Linked DNA regions of Coturnix japonica. The protein of the gene in region 2 interacts with the protein of the main gene of each other region in a pairwise test. Links are inferred from orthologs where the notes say so. Each region holds a gene or a part of one and is shown on either strand. Other genes may lie near its edges.

What was found.
Region 1: the proteins of BCAR1 (region 2) and NPHP1 interact in a two-hybrid assay, tested with the Homo sapiens proteins (2 studies listed by BioGRID). The link is inferred for Coturnix japonica from reciprocal best matches to the Homo sapiens genes BCAR1 and NPHP1.

Annotation. Positions count from the first base shown.
Region 1 is NC_029518.1:4,652,305-4,656,414, reverse strand, and holds the start of NPHP1 (nephrocystin-1), read right to left. Parts: upstream 2,934-4,110; 5' UTR 2,832-2,933; coding exon 2,763-2,831; intron 2,579-2,762; coding exon 2,514-2,578; intron 1,337-2,513; coding exon 1,276-1,336; intron 855-1,275; coding exon 718-854; intron 565-717; exon of another isoform or gene 342-564; coding exon 134-341; exon of another isoform or gene 1-133. Other genes in the region: MTLN (mitoregulin), read right to left, coding at 3,216-3,614; two pore calcium channel protein 1-like, read left to right, coding at 3,535-3,555, 3,694-3,776. UniProt on the Homo sapiens protein: Together with BCAR1 it may play a role in the control of epithelial cell polarity. Involved in the organization of apical junctions in kidney cells together with NPHP4 and RPGRIP1L/NPHP8. Does not seem to be strictly required for ciliogenesis.
Region 2 is NC_029526.1:685,701-688,610, reverse strand, and holds the end of BCAR1 (breast cancer anti-estrogen resistance protein 1), read right to left. Parts: coding exon 2,138-2,910; intron 1,953-2,137; coding exon 1,863-1,952; intron 1,627-1,862; coding exon 1,111-1,626; 3' UTR 535-1,110; downstream 1-534. UniProt on the Homo sapiens protein: Docking protein which plays a central coordinating role for tyrosine kinase-based signaling related to cell adhesion. Implicated in induction of cell migration and cell branching. Involved in the BCAR3-mediated inhibition of TGFB signaling.

The sequences.
Region 1 (4,110 bases), on a different chromosome or scaffold from region 2:
ATGCAGACTGGGGGAAGCCTTTCTTCCTCAAATCTTTCTGAATCCCAAAAGCATAGGATTTCATTATTGCCACCACTTAATACAGAATGACCCGCAGCACCAACATGGCAATCAATTCTATGGGCCTGCTTACCGTAAATGTGAGGTCCCCTTCCTGCTGTGCATTAAAGCTTCCCACTGCAATGCATTCTTTAACATCAGGATCATCCAAGTTATCCCCATCTTCCTCATCTGCTTCTTCACTTTCTTCTTCCTCACTGCTTTCACCATTGTCATCAGCACCCTCATCCTCTTCTTTATCTTTGTGTTCTCTCCGAGAATCTTTCAGACTCCCCTTGTTCCTACCCAAAATAAATCAAACTTTTTATTCACTTTTTAATTTTATATATATATATATATTTTAATTGCTGTTAAAGCCTTACAACACGGGCTTCCCTGTGTTATCCAGAAATCTCTTTGTAGACTCTGGCCTGACCTGAAATGGTTTTTCATCCCTAAGAATACAGACCACAGTACAACCTACGTTATATCTCAGCCATTAAACAAAATCCTCGGAAAACTGCAGCGAGGCTCTCTTGATTTCATTAATAAAACAAGCCCCAGGAGAGCCAGCTCTTTTGCAATAACTAATAAGGAGGATAAGCAGTCTTTGAAGGTTCTTTCCAGTGCTGTATGTATGACACTATTTAAGTACAGATGCTTGTTTGGGTTACTTACACCGTGTCCTTTGTAGCTGCATTGTCCTTATCCAAGACATGACAAAATTTCTGCAGCTGCTGGGATAGCTTTAGCAACAGCTTTTCTTCTTCTTCTTTCCTCTGATCGTAATTCCCCACAGGCGCAGGCTCGTCAGCCTGAGGAAGGAAAATACAACAAACCTGGTGTTTCTCTACAGTTTTACAGACACATCTCATGAGTTTTGATATTCCACAGCAGTGATAACTCCCTGCTTATGATATTTTATTGCCTTTTACTTCAACAAAATGAACTTTCACACTACATTTTCAAACTACATTCTCCTCTCCCAACACAATGGAGTGGGTTGATAAACACCTTTAAATATATTGGGTCAAGAAAGATTTTAATGCGCATAACAAAGCATTAAGAATATGCTTTCAGATCATATACATTAATCTCAGAGATCCCATTCGTAGGTTATGTGGTGCTAGGCATTACTTTCATCCTGAGGCATCTGAAATTGAAGCAGGTTACCATTCTCTGAATATTTACCACAATATGTTACAGGGAAAACCATTAGCAAGTCTCTATACCTACCTTTTTCAAACTACGAAGAGTATTTGTATTCTCGTCCACCAGTTTCTGCAGCTGAAAACACCTGCATTGAAAGCAAGACAGACAGCGTTACCTTACATCTGGTTGACGGGATATTGAATCACAAAATCACTTAAATGCGTATGTTTAGATGCCCATACCTTCTCAAAGCTGTATGAACACAAAGCTTTACAAAAAGAGACCAGTTTAATTCCGTCTGTAATTCATAAACCAAGCGTTTGGTGTGTCCTTAGAAGCAGTGTTTTAACAAAACTCAAGAAGCAGCAGCAGCAGATTTGGAGCAGAGGGACAAAATAAGATAATCTCCTGGCTCTGACAAGTTCTTGGTGTCAATCATTCACACAAGAATCCCTGAAGAACAAAGGGATGCGCAGCTTCACTGCTTGTTACCTGTGATGTGCAAGTTCCTGCTTTAAACAACTTCAGCCTTGAGGATTTCAGACAACCTGTGTGGTTACCCGTGCTACATCACTTCACAGGCACTTGCTGTCACTGCCCACACCCAGCACTGGGCAGGGTGCTGAGGGAGCCTGTTGCTGTTGCTGTAGCCTAGTGCTGCTCGGGGATAAGGCAGGAGTGCCACTGCACTATGAAAGCTGAACCCCTGCTTTCCATAATGCCCCAAAGACCAGGTAACACTGCATTAAGTAGAGGCTCTGGTGACTTCCCAGGCTGAACCTCAGCAAGAGAGAGCTGGTTCTGTGTCCTGGTATAGCATAAGTGGAGGCAGGTGATGAGTGGTGTCCCACAAGGGTCTGTCTTTGGATGTGCACTTCTGCATCTTTATCAGTGACTCTGACAGTGGGATTGAGTGTGCTGCTGACAGCACGCTGAGTGGTGTAGCTGATACAGCAGGGGAAGGTGGGATCGTTCAGCCTGGAGAAGAGAAGGCTGCGGAGAGACCTCACTGCGGCCTTATGGTGCCTCAAGGGAACTCATAAATAGGAATGGGAGCAAATTTTACAGTCTGAGTGTCAGGACAAAGAGGAATTTGAGGTTAGACGTTAAGGGGAATTTTCACTCAGAGGCAATGAGACGGACACAGGCTGCCCATAGAACACAGAATGCCCCACTCCTGGTGGTGCCCACGGCTGGATGGAGCCCTGGGCAACAGGGTCAGGTTGGGGTCAGCAGTTTAAGGCGGGGGTTGGTGCCCAATGGTTGTTAAGGTCCGTTCCATCCCCGGTACCGAGCTCCAGGCGCCCCGCAGCCCCGCTCACCTCTGCCTCAAGGCCTCCCGCTGCCCCACGGCCGCGCCCGCGCTCTCTGCCCGCAGCGCCTCCACCTGCAACACAGAGGGGTGCCGTCAGCTGCCGGAAGGGCTCCCCAGCGGCTGCCGGTACCGGTACCGATACCGGTACCGGTACTGATGCCGATACTGATACCGGTACCGGTACTGATACCGATACCGATACTGATACCGATACTGATACCGGTACTGATGCCGATACTGATACCGGTACCGATACCTGCGCCCGCAGCTCCCTGCTCTGGCGCTGCACTCTCTGCAGTGGGCTGCGCGCCCGCCGCCCCGTCATGGTCGCTGGGCAACGGGCGGCGCTGGGAGATGGCGTCACTGCCGGGAGCGCCGCGAGCGTGGGCCGGGATGGAGGATATGGAGTGTATGGAGTATGAACACACAGCAGGAACGAACACACCGAGTCCGACACACACACTCGTTTAATGCCCCGTTTAATGCCCCGTTGGTGCTGCCGGGCGCTGCTCCGTCTCCCCGCTCCCCACTCGTTCCGTCACGCCGGGATCCGCCGCTCGCTGCGCGCCGTGTCCTCACCCACGGCAGCGATGAGCCCGCGGTGCGGTCGGTTCGGTCCGTGTGATCAGCGCTGGCTCCGGGCATCGCCGGGCGGCGGGTCCGCGTGGCTCCGGCCGTACGATCGGGAGCCGGGCAGGGCGGCGCGGGGTCAGGCCGCCTCCAGCTGCTGCCGGGCGGCGTCCAAGCGGCGCTGCAGGCGGCTCTGCCTCCAGCGCAGGAAGCGGCGGCGGGCGCGGGCGGCCTGCCAGCCCACCACGACACCGGTGGCGAAGGCGGCCAGCAGCGCCCAGCGCACCGAGCGGGGCCTCAGCGCATCCAGCACCATCGGGAACGTGGCTGCAGCGCTGCGGGCGGACCCTGCGGCTGCCGCTCCTCCTCCCGGCCCTTCCTCCGCCTCCCGTTTCCGCCGGCGGGGCGGGCCCGTTAAATGCCGCGGGGTCGGCGGGAGGTGAAGCGTTTCCCCGGCCATGGCTGAGGCTGCTTCGCAGGTAGAGCCCTCGCCTCGGGCTGGGAGGTGGCACGGGGTGTAGGGCGGCGTGTGCTCCATCCCCGCCTGCGGGGCAGGGATATCGCCCTCTGCCCCCCTCCCCAAGCACCCCCTGACCTGTGTTTCTTCCCCTCCCCAGGAGCTCCTGCTGGCTGCAGCGTTTGTCTCTGATGCTCAATACAACAGAAATATCCCTTTTAAGACTTCCCCCGAGGCTGTCAGGTAAGGGGGCTGCAGGGCTCCGCTCCCCCAGGCAGCCTGGGAGGGGGCTGCGGTGGGTTCCTTCTCCTAACGAGTAGTGGGGCAGAGGCACGGCTGCACTGAGAGGTGCTGGGGGTTGAGAGAGCTGCAGGTGGGGATGTGGCACTGAGGGGTATGGTCGGGTTGGGCTTAATGATCTCAAAGGACTTACTCCCCAGGAGGGGAGTAAACTCTTCGAAAGGGCTGATAATAGCAGGACATGGGGAAATGGTTTTAAGTTAAAAGAGGGAAGATTTAGGTTGGATGTTAGGGGAAAGTTCTTTACTAAGAGAGTGGTTAGGCCCTGGAACAGGCT
Region 2 (2,910 bases):
GTGGTGTCTCGGCTGAGGGTGGTGATCAGCACTTTGGCACACAGGAACAGGGCTGGGGAATCACCGTGGGAGCCGAGGCGTGGCACATAGGAATTGGGCAGGAGGTGGGTGCACAGGGTTGGGGCTGTCCCGAGCACCAGATACATGCTGGGGCACTGCATCAAGCCCTGTGAGCCCACAGCTGGGCTCTGGGTGCCCACGGCCCAGGGCTACCACGGCACCTGCTGTGCTGGCACTGCCTCCATCTGCACAGCAGTTACACTGCAACCCAGGTGTAGGTGTGAGGAGCACAGCAAAGTGTGGGTGGCTGTGGGCTGTGCAGCACTGCATCTTCACCGCTGCTTGTGCCCACAGCCAGTGCCACATCCTGTTCCACATCAAGATGCTATGAACAAACCCATGTTATTGCTTTGCCATAAAGCACGTGGCACCCCAGCCATGCTCCAGCACCGCTGCTTTTGGGGGAAAGGACACCCCAGTTGCACACACAGGGCGCCCGATCCCAGCACCGCACACACACAGCCAGGTGCCAGGGGAATTTCTAGGCAAATCTTTATGCTGCTGTGGGACCAGGGGGTTGAGTTTTGGGGGCGGCTGCAACTCCATGGCTCCGGGAACTGTGAGGAAGGAGGAAGCTTCCCCAGTGTTCAGAAGGCACCAATGTCGGTTTGCATTTCAATTACAGTTGGTACAGCAAAACCAAGACTTGAAATGCAAAGGTTCAAGCCCCTCCTCCCACCCCGGCTGCCCCTCACCCCTTCCCTTGTCACTCAGGACAGCACTCTTCATCTCCCTACTGCTGCTGCTTGCCTGGCTCTGTCTGTGCCACAACACTACAACAGATGGCCGATGTGCCGATGGAGCCCACAGCATCACCCCAGGACACTGGAGCAGCCCCACTGCCAGCCCCACTTCAACTGGAGCAGGGGAACGAGCACAGAAGGGAGAGATTGCAACCCTGGGCACTGCGGGCATGGCTCTGAAACCAATGTCGAGAGGATGAGAGGGGAGGGGGATGACAGCTGCGGCCCCTCACCCCTGTGTGAGTCTCTATGTACAGGTCTGTTACGCTGGGCAGAGGGCAATGGGAGGGGGAACAGCACAGGGCCATCACATGGCAGCCAGCTGGCCCAGCACCCTCCTGAACTGCTGCGTGCTGTTGGCAAGGTCCTTGACGCGCTCCACCATGTCCTTGGAGGCGGCAGGTGACGGGTAGTGCAGCGCAGCCGCTTTGGTGCTCACCACGATCTCCTTGAGCATCTCGCACAGGAGGTTGCTGTAGTGTGTCACCTTGTGCCGCACGTCCTGCGCCTTGGCCTGGCGGGACAGTGTGTCGCCGATGAAGACGAGCTTGTGGGCGCTGAGGATGATGAACTTGCTGTGGGCCACGAAGATTTTTGGGGGCTGGTTGGTGCTGACAGCGGTGAAGAAGGCGTCAATAGCATTGGTGAGCGTGGTGAGGTTGGCCTCGCACTGCTCCAGGTAGAAGAGGAGCAGCTGGTGGTCGGCGGCACACAGGGCACCACCGCCCCGTACAGGGCCGTAGTGCTGGGGAGGGCTCCAGTTGGACAGGTCGTTGTCAATGGGGCGCGTCACCTCCTGCTCCAGCCGCTCAAACTGCTTCAGCTATGGGGAGAGATGGGTGTGAGGACAGGCAGGGTGGCCACCGAGCCCCACAGCGATGGCTGCACCCCAGGGGATGCCACGTGGGACAGCGCCCCGATCCTATCTGGCATCAGAGAAGAGCCGGACAGAGCCATGGGGAGCTCACGGCTGTGGGAATGGGGAACAGGAGCCCAACCCTACTGCCCTCCCCACCCCAGGGTCCCCACTGAGCCATGCTTATCCCCCAGCCCCATTACCTGCTGGTGCTCCAACTGGTCCTTGCTCTGCCGGATAATGTTGCCTTTCTCCAGCAGCTCCTTCTGCGTCTTCTCAAACTCCTCCTTGCCCTGAAAGAAAGGAAGGAGGGTGAGAAGGGGGAAAACCACAAGCCCTATCAGGATGGAGCCCCCCAGCCCTGCACCAGGATGCCCTCAGTTCCTACAGCCATAACAGGAGGGGAAAAGCAAGACCCAGATGAGGAGACAGAAATCCCACCCACGTCACCCACAGGGTGCCCCCAGCCCGCACCCACCTGGAGGTGCACGTAGTCATAATCCTCCATCCAGCCGCTCTCGTGGTTCTCGTAGGGACCCTCGGGGGACTCCTGTGCCAGCAGCTTGGGTGGGGAGGGCAGGGGCCGTGACTGGATGCTGCTGGCCTTGTCAGAGGGGTGCGTGGGCCCGTGGCCATTGCCCTCTGGCGCTGGCTTTGTCCGTTTGAAGAGCAGAGAAGCATTGCCATGCAGGAAGGAGGCGAGCTGCTTGGTGTCATCGGGCACACCACGCGAGTACATGACGAACAGCTCCAAGTCGTCCGTGCCCGGTTTGCCAGCCACCAAGGCACTGGGAGCCCAGTGACATGCATCCAGCGCCTGGCTGTGCCGCCCCAGGGCCTGGTAGACCTCCTCCATCTTCTGCAGCTGCTTGCTGAGCTTGGCGTACAGTGAGCGGTCCGAGGCCTGGGCAGCGTTGCCCACTGCCCCCCGGGCAAACTCCAGCAGCTCCCTGAGGGCTGTTTGAACACCCTCGGCTGCCAGGCGGATGCCGGCAGCATTGGCTTCCATGTGCTCGGGGCTGCGCCAGTTGGTGCTGATGAAGGACATGAGGCTGGAGACGGCACCGCTGACGCCGAGCTGGAGCTTGGCCAGCATCTCCATGGCAGCATCCAAGTCCAGGGAGAACTCCCTGCCGGCTCCTTTGGCCGGCTCCTTTACGGGCACAGTGTCCAGTGAGGAGGTGGAGATGTTGCTGCGGGTGCTGCCCGTGCTGGAGGCCGAGAGACGCTTGGTGTCAGCTGCCTTGGCCT